Kluyveromyces lactis: one gene and its partners. The protein of the gene in region 6 purifies or fractionates together with the protein of the main gene of each other region. This does not show direct contact. Links are inferred from orthologs where the notes say so. Each region holds a gene or a part of one and is shown on either strand. Other genes may lie near its edges.

Region 1 (2,439 bases), on a different chromosome or scaffold from region 6:
TTATCAGTGACACTTTCTACCTTTGTTCAGTGTCGTGCTACGAGTAGGATAAGAGCTCTGAATCCTTGCTTTAAAGTGACACCCTTGCTCTGTTAATTCTTTCATTGTTTCGATTTTGATGTTCTTTTTCTTGATTTTTCAATAGTAAATATGTGTGCTTCATGGAAATCCTAGGAAACCTAGTTCTACATATGAGTTCGAGGAAAACGAGAAACCTTGGATAGGAAGATCAGTGAATAGACATTGGTGGGTACCCCTGGATGCCTCATTGTAGCAATATGTTCATTAAAAAAACTATATACATATACAGAGAATTGTTGGGAGAGGAAAAGAAGCGTTTGTTTCACTTCATAAAACATATTGATGAGTAGGTTTAATTTCGTTTGCTATTCAGCATAGTAAAATGACGATGCCCTCAAAGATGCTTCAGGGCTCTTGTTCGTCAGTGAATTTGTTCTTTGATTGGAAAATTCAGATAGTCATGTAAAGAGATAATAAGCCTATTTCTTTAATCTTTCCTCAAGGTCTTTCAATTCTTGTTGCAGTTTGGAGGTCTCTTGTTCCATTTCTTTAGCTTTTTGTCTGGCAAGTTCAGCTTTTTGTCTCCTCAACTTAGTCTCTTCATCTCTTCTCTCCAACTCTTGGATCCATAACTGCTCTCTCATCTTGGCCTTCTTCCTTAGTTGTTCCTCATGAGATTCTCTTTCGTTTTTATTTGTACCGTAGATATAAGAACCTGCTACAAGGGCGATAAGTGTAAACCCTTGAAGGGCTACACGCCAACGGAACCAGATCTGAGCTTTCCGCTTGTTACCGTTCTTCACATTAAGCACAGCCAACAAAACTGCACCAGTGGTAGCTAGAGTCCCAAGAGGAACTAATGGCTGTTGCTTACAATGGTAAATCATTTTATCCAGAAATGGCATCTCATCCAAATCATCTGCATCGGAGTCGAAACTTGATGGAAGGTACGACATGATTGTTTTCTTTTGCTGTTGTTGGGTGTATATCTCTGTAAGTACGAGCACGGTCTTCTCTTGATTTCGGCCTGTTAGTTAGTTGTATCGAAAACTATAGACGCCTTGATCAACTCCAGATAGTTTGCTGCCTTGCTTTATTTAATGAATCTCTTTATCGGTTGGAAACTTTATTTCTACTATTCCTTTATTTCGATATTTGCTCATTACTTGTGTGGGAAATTTGTACAATAGGGTAATGGCAAAGTAAACAGGTGTCAGTTAACACGACACCAATGACAGGGCACTGACCAGTACTCGTTCCCTCTTGATGGTAACTAATAATCTTAAATATACATAAGGGTACGGTATGCATATATGTAGTATATTATATTTCAGAAATTTCTGAGTTCTCAATCATTTCCACTCTTGTTCTCTTCCTCGAAGATGAATTGTTTCAATTTCTCGTATGCGGCATCCAAATCGTCGTTGACAACGGTCAAGTCATGTGCGCCAGTCTCAGCATATTCCAATTCGGCAATGGCTGCATTTAGTCTTTTCTCAAGAGATTCTGGCGTCTCGGTGCCTCTGCCAGTCAACCTTTCCTTCAGCACTTCAACAGAAGGTGGAGCCACGAAAAGGAACCTAGCGTTCAAATCGGTCTGTTTCACAGATTTCACACCTTGCATGTCAATGTCCAAGATACACGTCTTGCCGCTGTTTGTCACCTCCTTCACAGACTCGATAGTCGTTCCGTAGTAGTTACCAGAGAACTGTGCCCATTCGATGAACTTCTTGTTATCTATCATCGATTTGAACTCGTCCACTGTAACGAAATTGTAGTCCTTACCGTTCACTTCACCATTTCTTGGCTGTCTAGTAGTAGACGATACAGAGAACCCGAAACTCGTTGGGTACTCCGCGAACAACTTCTTCAAAAGAGTGGACTTACCGGTACCACTTGGACCAGAAATGACTATAGGACGACTCATTCTTCCAATAAACATGCAAAAGGGAAGCGTTGAAGATGCCAGCTGAGCGCCTAATTCAAAAATAAAATATACCAGAAACGAAAAGAGTAAACGCAAACGTAAGAGTGGCACCAACGAACTGCTTTATTGAAAATGGTGGTTTTTTAATGATCTATGTCTTGGATCCACACATGTCACATTGAAATAATTTTTCAGTTCTAACTTGGCGATGCCCATCGCGTCGTTAAATCTAGAAACAGAAAATGAAAATGAAATTGGAACTCGTATGGAAACTGGAATGTGGACTGAAATGCCGATGAGGAAGCGATATATGGCTCCAATGAGCCAGTAGCTAGTAACCACTAGTTCCAGTGTGTTTTTGGATACAGTACCGGTAGAAGAAGGTATTGTGTGTCGCGATATTCTCTGATATAACCTGTGCCAAGGCTGGTCAACAACAATGATATCACGTGATATATGAAATTTATGCGTGGTGTGTGGGTTTATTGATA
Region 2 (2,384 bases), on a different chromosome or scaffold from region 6:
AAAGTTAAAGTTTTTGGAACGTAAAGTCAGTTTGTATTCATCATTCGTGAAAAAAAAGTAAGTATTGAGTTACTAAAGACGTTTGCCATAACGCTGAGCATATCGAAGTTGATGTACTGCTTGTCACAGATTCAGTACAATAGATATTGATAATGAAGAAACTTATATCTACTTATGATCATTGACACAGTGTGACGTGTTTTATTCTATTTTTCTAGGACTGAATTTACAATAAAGATAAAAAGTGTGTTTATTCTTCTTGAGTTAAATAATAATTATTTGTATGGTGGAAACTCCACTATAAAGTTTATCCATATGTTTGTTGTATTTTGAAGTATAATGCCAGATTAAACGGATGTTTGAATTCTTTTGAAGATAATTTGAGGATATTTGATAAAAGGTGTTTTAAAAGATAAAAAAACCCACAGGCAGGGGCTATCTTGATATTTCATTATGAATGGCCAAAGCCCAACAAGTTGAGATCATTTATCGAACTGTGTTTAATCGTGAGAGACGTGTCTGTTAATGACTGGGTTCCAGAACAAAGTCTTGTCACCGTCACCCCAGAAGAAAGGCTTTTGTCTTAAGTTTTGGAATTCGTAGTCTCTTGGCCATTCTTCATCTGGAACGTGCTTCAAATGTTCACGGTGCTCAGCGTGTTCAGCTTCAACGAAGTAGGTGTTGACAGCGGTCAGAGCAATAGCTGGAGCAGCAACAAATATGGAGATCTTAACCCACAAGTTAGAGGTTTGCTTAGCGTGCTCAGTACTGTGCTTCATGTAGTCCTTGTAAGCTTGGGCAGCAGCCAAATCTGGCTTACCGAAAGCTGGTTCCAAAGCATACTTTGGTAGAGTAGAAGCTCTTCTAATGGCTTGTTTGAACATTTTTGATTATATCTAGGGTCTGGCTTTTCGAAACAGAATATCCTTATGGAATTAATTCACCAAACACAGTTGACGTTAAATAGATATCAAACTCGAAATGAATGTAAAATGAATTGTAAACAGTAAGAAAACTAATCACAAAAATCTCTTTTAAAAAAGTACTTTGACTTACCAATAAAACCTTTTCTATTATGGAAAGAGTAGCTTTAATAACTTGAACTTTCCTAACTATTAAACAATTTTTTTTTTCCTACCTCCAAAATTTTCTAGCATCAACACAATCTCTCTCGCGATATTTCCATATCCCACTCCATATAAAAAACCAAAAATGGCACGACGGAGAAACTAGACAAAGATCATGCTTTTTCGATGTTGTAATTTCGGTATCACATTACACGGTATGAAAATGATTGGTTGCTGGTCACGAGAGACTTAAGTTCTGGTAATGGACACTGAGCATAAAAGGTTCCTATTCCTTGTTTAAATGGTGTTGCTGTCTCGCCGGGACTACAAACCCACAAGTAGCTCATACGATACCGTTCACACTGGCAACAGATTCAGAAGTACTTCCTACTTTATTTTCTGTTTCTGTTGCATCTCTTTATACATATTGACAAACAGTGTAATATTGACGTTCAGGAATTCAAGTCCGGGTAACAATATTTGTTTCACGGCCTGGCGGTAATTGATTTTGGGTTTTTAGCAAACCTGAGCCATCGCATGTCATTCTAGTAGCTGCTGCAGGGACTTGCCGGCTGGGGTTGGTGTAGTGGACAGAAACACCGTTCCTAATATATAGAATGCTAGATTAAGCTGAGAGCTTGTTGCATTGAATTCAAAAAACAAGCGCGTTGGCTAATAGAACGCCCGTAGGATCAGCCATGGTTATGGAAATCAAAAGATTGCCTATTGCTGCTTAAGTGTAGCACGAACTTGTGGGTAATGTAACGTTTGTAATTACAAGGGCGTATGACATAAATTAAAAAAAAGAAGAAAAGTAAGAAGGAACACATACAGACTCCTAATGGATACTGTGTATCGACAAATAAAAGCTAGGACATTTGAAGTAAAGAGAGTATTACATCTTTAGTTTGTCTTTGAATTCTTTGATTTTTCCATGAATCTTTCGTATTTCCTTTTCACATCCACTTCATGGATAGATGAGCCTGTCACTTGATTTCCTATCGTGAACCATCCAGGACGGATGTTATGGTCCCTACCGAAAATTTCAAGTTTACGGGCATGTGTACCGACAAGTCTTTCAATGATTCCATACAATTCGTCCGGCTTTCTACTGGTTTCTCTAGTTGCGCTAATGATCAAGTCAATGTCTATTTTTCTGTTTAGCCATTCCGGATTGCCTTTGACCCCGACGAGTAAATGCTCTTTACTGTGGTTCAACCAATGGCCAGTTCTACCTGTCACAATTGTTCTTCCTAATTGGTTTGTCTTGATCCAAGATATTTCATTTATTACTTCGTAACCCCAATTCTGCAATGA
Region 3 (2,978 bases), on a different chromosome or scaffold from region 6:
ATGAAATGATGATTTTATTTCCGAAGAGTAAATCCGAATGGATATTCGTTGCGGTGTTTTCAAGGCGAGAATCGAACACTTACACTGTACGCACAAACCACCAGCAAGCAAGCAAGTAATCAAAAAAAAAAAAAGTACTCATTTGGACTTTGGTACTTACCCGAATCTTTCTATTGTGCGGGTAAGTGTAATTTTATTCACGTGAGTCGAATTTCAATCTCGGTATTTGATCATCTTTGACGAACCAATGGAAATCCAGTTCGGGCATCGTATTTCACGGTTCATTTTTCATTCAAAGTTTACCGCTTACCATAGGAAATCGAGCATTTCCACTGTTTATTATGGGAAAAGAAATGCTGGTACCGATACTTCCGTAACTGCGAGATGAGCGAGAAAGAGGGATATGCAATCCCAAAAATGTCGATTTGATTGGAAATGTTCGAGCAGATGGAATTAGCAGTTTTGGGGCTAAATTCTCGTCCCGAAAAGTACTCGCTACTATGTAAATTTTTGTTTTTCGGACCAGTTTCTCGGCCAGAAACGATTTTAATAATTGTTCAAAGGGGGTCCCCTATTAATTATGTGGACAGGTCGTTGTCCAATGAAAGAAAATCTCTATGCTACAGAGAAGACAAAGAAGAAGAGGTAAAAAAAAAAAATTATGGAAATATCGAAAAACTAGACAGCGCTCTCAGTATCAACATTTTTCACTTTTTTCATATAGTGTAACCTTCCAAAATTAAAAAAAAATTAAAAGTAGTTAGATAAATCATTGATATTTGTTTAATGAAAGTACACTAACTTTATTTAGACCTGTTTATAGTTTTCTACTCTTGTATATTGCTTCAGTCAAGTGTGCACAATTTTAAGGAAATTGAGAATTCAGTTAGGCTAAAAACTATCCAAACTTTGCTTTATATTTTTTTCAGTGAAATACCACTATACTGTTTTTTGAATCGATAGTATACCAACAGAAAGGTTTCCAAGGAAAAAAGTAAACGAGAATTATAACTTCGAAGGTATTACATTTGGGAGCTCATTGACTTGTTTTTGATCCCGTATTCTATTTATTTTGCACGTACAAATTCAACACACTATATTGATTAAACGGATTATAACCAATTATTTGCCATAAGAAAGATGTTGAGAACCGCTACTAGATCTTCAATCTTGAAGAGAACCATTGCCACTCAAATTACCCCAAAAGCCATCGTCACCGAACTATCTAACGGTGTTGTTGTTGCTACTGAACCAAACAGCAACTCTGCCACTGCTGCGGTCGGTTTGGTGTTCGGTTCCGGTACTACTGCCGAAAACCCATACAACAACGGTGTTTCCAACTTGTTGGCTAACTCCTTTGTCAACTCTTCTATCAAGGATGCTCAAAAATTGGGATTCTCCTTAGAAACCAAGGTTGGCAGAGACCACCAATCTTACATTGTTAACTCTCAACCAGGTCAATATGCTAAGGCTCTAGAATTCTTGCAATCCAAGCTTTTCGCTCCAATTGAGGACTCCGTCTTCGAAAGTTCCAAGAGAGCTACTGTAGACACTGTTGCCAAGTTCGAAGAAACTGAACACGAACAACGTGTTTTCGAACACTTGCACGCCACTGCTTTCCAAAACACTCCATTGTCTTTGCCAGTCAGAGGTACTGTCGAAACTCTAGAAGGTTTGGAAAACATCGACTTGTCCAACTTCGTTCAAAACCAATTCAAGGCAAACAACTCTGTTATTGTTGGTACCGGTAACGTTAACCACGATGAATTGGTCAAGGCTGTTGAAACTAAGCTTTCTTTGCTATCTGGTGACAAACCAGTGCCAAAGAAGAAGTCCACTTTCTTGGGTTCTGAAGTCAGACTAAGAGATGATACTCTACCAAAGGCTTGGGTATCTATCGCTGCTGAAGGTGAACCTATCAATTCTCCACAATACTATGTTGCTCAAGTCGCTGCTGAAGTCTTCGGTACTTTCGTTGCTGCTGAACCAGCTTCCAACCTACAAGGTGTTAAGTTGATCGACGAAGTTAACGAATACCACTTGTGTGACTCTTTCGAACACTTCTCTGTCTCTTATAAGGACTCCGGTTTGTGGGGTTTCAGAACCACCATCACCGACCCACACAACATCGATGAAACTGTCCATTTCACTTTGAAGCAATGGAACAGATTGTCCATCTCTGTCACCGAAACTGAAGTCGCTCGTGCTAAGTCTTTGTTAAAGTTGAAGTTGGCTTCTCAAGTTTCTACCAACGCTGCTGCTGCTAACTTGTTGGGTGCTCAAACCTTGGTTTTGGGTGCTAAGCCAGCCTTGGCTGAAGTCTTCACTAAGATTGACAAAATTACCTCCAAGGATATTAAGGCTTGGGCTTCCGAAAGATTATGGGATCAAGATATCGCTGTTGCCGGTACTGGTAAGATTGAAGACTTGTTGGACTACGTCAGAATGAGAAACGACATGAGTATGATGAGATGGTAATCAAACTAAAAGCCGAGTCTTAAGATATTTTAACAATTCTTTTTATATTATATTCTCATTTCACGACGGTCATTCTAAAAACAATTCTCTCTTTTCTACTCGACTGAGTAGAATTACTCCCTGTAACATTTACTTTTGAGTTGTTATAACCATATCACTCGATGAGTAATAAGTTACAGTTTAATTTCATGTGTGTATATTCCCCCAAAAAAAGAAATTTGTCACGATCGATTTATATCAATATTTTACTGTTTTGGACTAAAGTCTAGGGTGTTTACTGGCGCATTCGATTTTTCGCTCTGTCACAGCTCCTCAAGATCAATACATTTAATGAACATAATGTATTTTTTAATTCCAAATGATATTTGAAAATTTAGGCTAAATCGAAATAAATCAAAATCTCGCTCATTATTCGTCGAAACAAAAATATGAGTTCAATGTCCTTATTTATGATACTGTCATTTACTGGTGAGCAATTGAATACATTTTAACCATCAAGA
Region 4 (2,011 bases), on a different chromosome or scaffold from region 6:
CATGACGAGCTGTGGACACAACTATTGTTACGAATGTTTGAATAACTGGTTGAACAACAATCGATCCAACGTATCAGAATTAACGTGTCCGCAATGTCGAAATGTGATTACCAATGAACCATCGTTGAACGTTGCCTTACAACAAATAGTCGATCTGATGCTAGATATAGCAGCGGAGGACCCACAGAAATCGAATTCCTCCGAAGTACGATCACTGCTCACACAAAGAGAATGCTCCGTTGCTGAATACAAGTCTGACCTGTTGGAAGAAACGCTATTCAACAGTGTGTTTAAGAATACTGCCAAAGCCATCATAGACGATGATGACGATGGGATAGCAAGGTGTAGCAATTGCCAATGGGAAGTTGAGGGTCCCGTGTGTCCTAACTGCAATGCTACGATACGGAATTATAATGCGGGTGCACAGAACTTCGACGAAGTTGATGTGGATGAGTACTCTGACGGAGAACTGGAAGAGGTTGAGAGAGATTTGGACAATTATAGAGCCGAGAGTGCACGTACTGTGCACGATTTGGAAGCCGAAGAGGGAGATGAGAGTCTCAGTTCAGAGATGGACCAGGCATGGCCCACAAGACGGCCTAGGAACTTTATGCATGGAGAAGAAGAAGAGGAGGAAGAGGAAGATAGAGGATCGATAGATTCGTTCATAGTGGATGAGGAAGAAGAAGAAGAAGAAGAGGAAGAGGAACAAGAATTGAAAGATGAACGGAAGTTCCGTAGAGCATCTGTTGCCCTCTCAGATGACGATGACAACGAATCTCGCGACAGTGATTTCTACGAACATAATGACGATGGATACGCGAGTGGTGACTCCCTTGACGAAAGTACTAGTAACGACGAACTAGAACCGCACACCATCCGTCTCACTCATAGTCAAGACAACAACAACAACAACAACAACAACTCCGCGCGTAAGAAACGTCTCATAGTCCTAGACTCTGATGAGTAACAATAACAGCGTATATACACCTTGTACAACCTTCTAACGATACTAAAAGTCACGTGTAAACCACCATCACGTGCAACAACCCCGCAGTTACCCTGAATGTCCCCGTATCTTTTCCCAGCCTATGGAGTTTTCGCTGTTTAGAGGGAAGTTGAATTTTCACACCACTCGAAAGCCAGTAGGGGAATATCAGATACTGAGATTAAAAAAAATTTTGGAAGAAATAAACTGTTATGATAGTTAGTTTACACTTGGTGAATACAGTTTTCGATTTGATTCATAGTATTTGTATATTTTGTTTGTTGTTCATCGATTGCCAATACATTTGTTTAATCATAGCCCCAAACATTGAACGATGCCTTCTCCAAGCAAAATTATTGAACTACAAAAGCTGTTCCAACACTCTTCTAAGCCATTGTGGTCTAGACATCCAAGATCGGCTTTCTACTTGTACCCATTCTGGGGTTTGTTTACTGTGGCCCTTGTTGCTCCATTGCTATACATTCCAAATGCTATCATGGGTATTAAGGCTAAGAAGAACTAAGAACTGTTACGTTGTGTATGAATGAATGAATGAAATCCCGAGAGGTTTTTTCGTTAATTATTTTATTATCAAGATACGTCCAAAAATATCCCATATTCACTTTCCCTTATGTTATTACCATGTTAAAAGAGCGAACGAATGAACGAAAATGCACAGCAACAGTATTAGGAAGATATGTTCTTTGCTTCTCTTGTTGAGAAATCTGTTTGTTTCAAATATATATATTTAATTCCAAGACCAGGTCAAGAAATGGAAGAATGGCCTACACCCAGTGTTGAATCCTGACTTCCAGTCAATCTTTATATTAATCAATTTATTATTGGCGCTTTAGCGAAGGAGTATGCGTGGTTTTATTCATGGTCACAATACTCCGAAGTTGTTGCACTATTATTTAGAAAGAATAAGTTAAAAATAAAATACTATAATATATTTTTAAGTAAGACTTTCCGGACAGTACGTTATATCACCCTGATCTGAGTGTTTTCGGCGTATTTGATGGT
Region 5 (2,606 bases), on a different chromosome or scaffold from region 6:
GAAAAGATTACAAGCAATTTTGGTCCGCATTTTTGATAATTTATGAAGGTTCTTGATTGGTTCAAAAAAGTAGTGGTATAATGTTATGAAAGCCGTACCAGCCGTCTCTATTGAAAAAAAATTGAAATAAGCTGACATTAAAAAACAACCATAACAGGTAAGGCAGCACGCCCGCATTTTTGATCTCGTGGATGGTTGCGCCACGATGCAATGAAACTGTTACAATAATCAATGATAAAAAATAGATCTTCTTTTATTAACTTGTCATGACATAGAATAATGTGAGACAAAATAACTCACCATGAAAGGTAGATTTGGTACGTTAGATCTGCTTCATTTCATTTCGTACAAGGCAGTGCTGTAAAAAAAAAACAGTTAATAGTATATGGGTCAAAATTATTCACAAGAAGGATGTGATGAGGGTGAAAATAGAATTGTACGCCTTGTAGTGTGAAGGCAATATCGTATTTCACCTCAGCTAGATTGAATTCTTCAAAAATTCAATCATATTTAAAAATCTTGGCCTTAACTCTGTCTTCGTTACTTCTGTAACCAGCGGTTGCAGCCATCTCTTCTTCCTTCTCAGCATGCTCCAAAGCCGCTTGCCAACGACGGTCTCTAGCCTCCTTCTTTTGATCTGGATGTAGCTTTTCCTCGTACATAGATAAACCAATTGAGGCTAGTAACAAAATCACAGTTATACCTTGAGCATACATTCTTGCCTGCACAGCCTTTTGGGCTTTGGTCATGTATAAGTCCCTATCAACCAATTTCCAGGATCCATACAAGGAAGCAGCCCATGCACCAACAATGATCTTGTACTTATTGTTGGACAAACCTTCGACCAATTTTTCGCTCATAGGCAGGTTCTTCCATCTGTTATGTTCAGCAAGAATATCACTGGACGAAGAGTCACCATACATTTTCTTATCAAAACTGTTAGAAGATTCTTCAGCGACAATAGAAGCCAAAAGAGTTGGAGGCGTGATGAATAAAGCAGTCTTGACAGACCATGTCATAGCCTTTGGATTGAATTTAGGATAACGATGGGGTAAAAACCTGAACATAGCTGCAGAAATTAACAGACCTGCAGCTGCACCTTTAACACCACCCATCAGGGTGTAGTGACGATGAGCATCAATTTCTTCTCTTGTTAAAATCTTCATCTTGCTGTGCTGGTTTTTTCGTCTTTCAGTTACTTATCTCTTAAGCTAACTTTTGATTCCCTTAGTTTAAATAAGGTGATAAATATCGAATTAATACTGGAACAAAATCCTAATATATCCCGATATTTATTTTAGCCAAGAGGATAAGCATTAACAAATTTTAACTGTCAAACGATATATATATATATAATTTGAAATGATTCTGTAAACGAATAAACCGAGAGAATGCTCTTCCTTATATACGATACTTTTAAATTCCCTCCCTGCCTTTGTTCCAATTATACTTTAATTTTGGTTCGATTTTACTTTTTTACTTTTTTCCTTCCCGTATGATAAATATTCTTTGTTCCTTTATTTCTTTTTCCTGCAATATCGTATACGATTTAGGATTTATGATTGTCCATGAGGCACTGCTACTGATGTTACGTAATTTTGGCAGTTAGCCAAACCCTATATCTCTCGTTCTTGTTGCCAGCCCATGAACAGGCTCAGCGTAACCTGTTCATTGCTATCAACGTATCAATGAACCATTCGATTGAAATTTCTTCCAAAGGTCAGACAAGTTTTTGTCTGAAAATAACTCCGTCAATTAGAAAGTGACTATGTTCATTACACTGATGTTCAAAATCAATCCATACTTTAGCGAAGCTAATACCTAAGTGGGACCAGCCGAACGAACTGTCCTACTCAGAAGGATTTGCGCGTGCATACGGAGATAGTGGTTTTAGTAGTTGTTACCTGAGAAGAAGCCGGTCGGAATTTGCCACGGTTGTGGCTCCACATTTCCTTGACACAAAGTTTCCTGTGATATGATTGGTCAGTCACACATGTTTAAAAAAAAAGGAAGAGCAGAGAATATGCATCGACTAACCCTAACAGCTGGAACCTACCAGATTCATCCAATAGAGTTACAGGATCTTCGAAAAGCTTCAGTTTTGGACCTAAGGCATCGGATCGTTCGGATAATATCCATTGCAATTAGTGCAGTGTTGCGTTCATTAGCCTGACCTTTTAATACAAGGGAGAGTGATTACCATTTTGAGAAATCGCCGAAATACTATTTTTCAGGTTTCTACTCTTAAGAAAAAGAGCTTAATATGTGGAAAGCCTTTGCTTTGAATATGGCCAGCAGAGTTTTGTACATCACTCTGTTTTGACGTAACCGATATGTATACTAGCTTGAGTCTCTACTGAAATACTTGTAAAATGAACGCATATTAGACTATTGAAGATTTTTTTCAACTAGTTAATAAGCGAACACTGATACGTCATTTTTTTTTATTTTTTTCATGGATCGTTTTGTTCGACTCTTCGACTCTTCGGATATTATCTGACGCGCGACACAAAATAATAATGTGAACACTTAAAAAGTATGCGACTTTAATCATGTCCCTGGTTCGACACACTATTCGTTAGACAATGACAGGGTTCCGAGTTCTT
Region 6 (4,025 bases):
AATTATATATTTAATTATTATAGTATTATTATATTCTTTATTTATTAAATTTGAATATAAATTAGTACCATAAATTGTTAATTTTTTATTATAATAATTATTATTATTATTATAAGAATTATAAGAATTATTATTATAAATCTTATTTATCCCCGCGGTCATGTTACCGATAACCGGTGACTGACCGCGGGGATTATTATTATTATTATTATTATTATGATTATTATTAATATATATATATTTTATATATTTTTTGATCAACTTAATACTCTTGCTAAAGGAGTTTATTAATCATGAGAAAATTTTAATACCTGTAGGAATTGCAATAATCATTGTAGCCGATGTGAAATAAGCTCTAGTATCTGCATCTAATCCTACAATATACATATGATGTGATCATACTAAGAAACCTAATAATCCAATTGAAGCCATAGCATATACCATTGATACTTCACCGAATACTGGTTTTTTAGAATAAGTTGATACGATATGTGAAATAATACCGAATCCAGGAATAATTAAAATATAAACTTCGGGGTGACCAAAGAATCCAAATCTAAATAATATATTATCTTTTCCCCAAATATTATTTTTGATAATAGCACGGGTAGACTCTATAATATATATCTCATATATAATATATGACCTTATTATTAATAAGTGATTCCGACTGTACATTAAGCAATATTATTATATCACCCATTGGTGAAGCAGTCTGTAGCGATCAGAATATATAATTATATATATTATAACCGACGGTCTAAATCTGAGAAATTGTTGACCGTACCACCAATGTTGCATTATATAATATATATATAATACTAGAAAATAGTATATTTATCTCTTCTCCCCATATCTTCTTATCAGCTTAGCTGGGAAGAAGATATGGGGGGGGTATTAAAAAAGGTAAATCCCTTGGATGGTGTCCGAATAAGAGAATAATAAATATTTAGTCTCTTAATTTATATATATATATTAAGAGAGATATAATCTTTTTATTTTTCATATCAACATTGTTATATCTTTTCTAATTAACTTAAGTTAAACTATTTCCTTTGTTTCAATATTTTTTATTTATACTAATAAAATATGATTATTTATTAATTAATTCCCTGCGCGACTCACCCAACCCTTTATGAGGGTCGGGTGATGTCGCGCAGGGTTTAGATATTTTTTTAATATATAATTTTTGTTCTTCATTTAAAGGTTTATTTTGTTTATAATAATTTATTACATGAATAAATTTATCTAAACTATTAGATTTATCAGATAATAAAGGATATTCTTTAAAATAATTTAAAATAAAAATACAATTATTTAATCCTGAAATTCATAATTGTCAATTATCATCTTTAGAATTAGAATAAACTTTACCAATATTTTTTTCACTATTAATGTTATATAATGAATTAGTATTAGATTTATCAATAAATAAATTTAAAATATGTTCTAATACATATTTATTAACAATATGTTTTTGACTTAATGCATATAAAAATCTAGGTGTATTTTTATTATCTTTTAAAGAAATATCAAAACAACCTTCAGCATCAGTAAATCCAGATAATCAATAATCATTTAAAGTAGGTAATTTACAATAATTTTTTAAAATAATTATAGGTTCATTATTTTTTAATAATTTTTCATTTAATTTAGCTAAAAAAATTATAAATTTACCATATCTAGTAGGTAATACTAAATTACCATTAAAAATTAATGATAATAAATAAATATCTCTTCTTTTATGTACTACTCATCTATATGTTATATCTTTTTTAGATTGTAAAATTACATCTCCTATATTAAAATTATTTTTAATATAATTTAAAATTTTTATATCTTTAGAAGTTACAACAACAGAAATATCACTTCTTTTTATTAAAATAAATGAACCTTTACCTTCAAAAAATCCTACAAATCATTCTAAAAATTTTTGATCAGGAACAGAATTTATAGGTTTAAATTCTTTATATTTTAAATTAAATTCATCAAAATAAAATTTATCTTGATTAAATTCTAAATTTTTAAATGAAGATAATCATAAATTAATATTATATTTATAATCATAAATTACTATATAAAATGGCATAGAAAACAAATGTTGGTATAAAACAGGGTCACCACCACCTGCTACTTCGAAGAATGAAGTATTGAAGTTTCTATCTAATAATAACATTGTAACACCTGCTGATAATACAGGTAATGATAATAATAATAAGAATGCTGTAATGAAAATAGATCATACAAATAATGGTAATCTATGCATTGTCATACCATTTGTTCTCATATTTAATGTTGTTACAATGAAATTAATAGCACCTAATAATGATGAAATAGATGTTAAATGTAAAGCAAAAATTGCTAAATCAACACTAGGTCCTGAATGTGCTTGAATTGATGATAATGGAGGATATACAGTTCATCCAGTACCTGCACCAGATTCTACTAATGTAGAAGTTACTAAACATACTAAAGCAGGTGGTAAACATCAGAATGAAATATTATTTAATCTTGCAAAAGACATATCTGATGCTCCAATTAATAAAGGTAACATATAGTTACCAAAACCACCAATTAATGCCGGCATTACTAAGAAGAAAATTATTAAGACCGCATGCCCAACTACTAAGACATTAAATAATTGATGATTTCCGCTTAAAACTTGATTACCTGGTGCGGCTAACTCTAATCTAATGATTAAAGACATGGCAGTACCTGCCATACCACAGAAAATAGCAAAGATAAAGTATAAAACAGCAATATCTTTAGCATTTGTAGAATATAATCATCTTTCGATCATTAATTTATTTTTATAATTATTATATTATATTTAAAATATATAATATAATAAACTATTATTATTAGTTATATTTACCCGCGGCTCCCCCCCTGAAGGGGGGGGGGAGCCGCGGGATTAGTATGTAATATACATTATGTTTTTTATTATTAATTAATTAATTAGTTATATATAATTATTATTATAATTATATAATTATAGATAAATTCTTGACCCCCGCGCTCCTTCCCATCCCTTTATGGGATGGGAAGGGAGCGCGGGGGATAAATAAGTTTTATCTTACTTATATATAATTTATATATATAAAAATATATAAATTTACCAATTTACTATGCAGATCGGTAAAAATATACATTTCCCCGCGGTTTCACCCCCCCCTTAAAGGGGTGGGGAGGAACCGCGGGGGTTATATTAATTAATTTAATAGATATTATGTGAATAGTCGGAATAATTATTCTATTAATATATAATAAGCCTCTTAAAGAAAAATATTATTCTAATTATATTAATAATAAAAAATAAATAAATATATTAGGTAGGGCTTATTTCCCACCATATGGTGGGAAATAAGCCCCCCTCATTAGTATTATTTTATATAATAAATAATAATATTATAAATAAATATAATATATAATTATATTAAAATATATATATGTATATTAATCCGCGCCTCATCCTTTATAATGGATGAGGCGCGGATAATACTTTTCCCGCGGACTCCTTTAAAGGAGTCCGCGGGGGTTTATTATTAATATTATAATATATAATAAATAAGAATTACCCCGCGGCTCATCACCCTACATTCGTAGGGTGAGAGACCGCGGGGGAAAAATATTATTATAATAATTAATTATTATAATAATGGTTATCCTAAATTTATTACTCCCTACTCCCCCCCTTCAATATCTGCGCACCAATCGTGTGCGACAGGAAGGGGGGGGAGTATAGCATGAGATCAATAAATTATTTTTATACTCTTATTTATATATAATTATTATTATATTTAAAAATATAATATAATATAATATAATATAATATAATAATTCCGCGGATTCATAACATGAATCCGCGGGATATAAAATAAGTAAGAATCCCCGTCTCCTTGTGGGTCGGGAAGGTGACCGTGGGGAAACCCCTAATAATATTGTAGGGTTTGCAGGGAAAGAATATTATTATATATAATTTATTAATTATAAATTATATAATTATTGTTCATTTAATCATTCTA

Evidence for each region.
Region 1: the proteins of COX1 (region 6) and RCF1 purify together in Saccharomyces cerevisiae (affinity purification with western blotting; 6 studies listed by BioGRID, with this or other methods). This does not show direct contact. The link is inferred for Kluyveromyces lactis from reciprocal best matches to the Saccharomyces cerevisiae genes COX1 and RCF1.
Region 2: the proteins of COX1 (region 6) and COX13 purify together in Saccharomyces cerevisiae (affinity purification with mass spectrometry; 3 studies listed by BioGRID, with this or other methods). This does not show direct contact. The link is inferred for Kluyveromyces lactis from reciprocal best matches to the Saccharomyces cerevisiae genes COX1 and COX13.
Region 3: the proteins of COX1 (region 6) and COR1 purify together in Saccharomyces cerevisiae (affinity purification with western blotting; 6 studies listed by BioGRID, with this or other methods). This does not show direct contact. The link is inferred for Kluyveromyces lactis from reciprocal best matches to the Saccharomyces cerevisiae genes COX1 and COR1.
Region 4: the proteins of COX1 (region 6) and COX7 purify together in Saccharomyces cerevisiae (affinity purification with mass spectrometry; 3 studies listed by BioGRID, with this or other methods). This does not show direct contact. The link is inferred for Kluyveromyces lactis from reciprocal best matches to the Saccharomyces cerevisiae genes COX1 and COX7.
Region 5: the proteins of COX1 (region 6) and RCF2 purify together in Saccharomyces cerevisiae (affinity purification with western blotting; 4 studies listed by BioGRID, with this or other methods). This does not show direct contact. The link is inferred for Kluyveromyces lactis from reciprocal best matches to the Saccharomyces cerevisiae genes COX1 and RCF2.

Annotation. Positions count from the first base shown.
Region 1 is NC_006038.1:134,409-136,847, forward strand, and holds RCF1 (respiratory supercomplex assembly factor RCF1), read right to left. Parts: upstream 978-2,439; coding exon 501-977; downstream 1-500. Other genes in the region: GUK1 (guanylate kinase), read right to left, coding at 1,370-1,948. UniProt on the Saccharomyces cerevisiae protein: Assembly factor that plays a role in the assembly of the respiratory chain supercomplexes (SCs) composed of ubiquinol-cytochrome c oxidoreductase (cytochrome b-c1 complex, complex III, CIII) and cytochrome c oxidase (complex IV, CIV).
Region 2 is NC_006042.1:844,201-846,584, forward strand, and holds COX13 (cytochrome c oxidase subunit VIa), read right to left. Parts: upstream 885-2,384; coding exon 501-884; downstream 1-500. Other genes in the region: IME4 (mRNA (N6-adenosine)-methyltransferase), read right to left, coding at 1,971-2,384. UniProt on the Saccharomyces cerevisiae protein: Component of the cytochrome c oxidase, the last enzyme in the mitochondrial electron transport chain which drives oxidative phosphorylation.
Region 3 is NC_006041.1:508,018-510,995, forward strand, and holds COR1 (ubiquinol--cytochrome-c reductase subunit COR1), read left to right. Parts: upstream 1-1,140; coding exon 1,141-2,478; downstream 2,479-2,978. UniProt on the Saccharomyces cerevisiae protein: Component of the ubiquinol-cytochrome c oxidoreductase, a multisubunit transmembrane complex that is part of the mitochondrial electron transport chain which drives oxidative phosphorylation.
Region 4 is NC_006038.1:767,930-769,940, forward strand, and holds COX7 (cytochrome c oxidase subunit VII), read left to right. Parts: upstream 1-1,322; coding exon 1,323-1,511; downstream 1,512-2,011. Other genes in the region: ubiquitin-protein ligase PSH1, read left to right, coding at 1-970. UniProt on the Saccharomyces cerevisiae protein: Component of the cytochrome c oxidase, the last enzyme in the mitochondrial electron transport chain which drives oxidative phosphorylation.
Region 5 is NC_006042.1:573,921-576,526, forward strand, and holds RCF2 (Rcf2p), read right to left. Parts: upstream 1,167-2,606; coding exon 501-1,166; downstream 1-500. UniProt on the Saccharomyces cerevisiae protein: Assembly factor that plays a role in the assembly of the respiratory chain supercomplexes (SCs) composed of ubiquinol-cytochrome c oxidoreductase (cytochrome b-c1 complex, complex III, CIII) and cytochrome c oxidase (complex IV, CIV).
Region 6 is NC_006077.1:30,934-34,958, forward strand, and holds the start of COX1 (cytochrome c oxidase subunit 1), read right to left. Parts: upstream 2,801-4,025; coding exon 2,092-2,800; intron 552-2,091; coding exon 290-551; exon of another isoform or gene 289-289; intron 1-288. Other genes in the region: COX2 (cytochrome c oxidase subunit 2), read right to left, coding at 4,003-4,025. UniProt on the Saccharomyces cerevisiae protein: Component of the cytochrome c oxidase, the last enzyme in the mitochondrial electron transport chain which drives oxidative phosphorylation.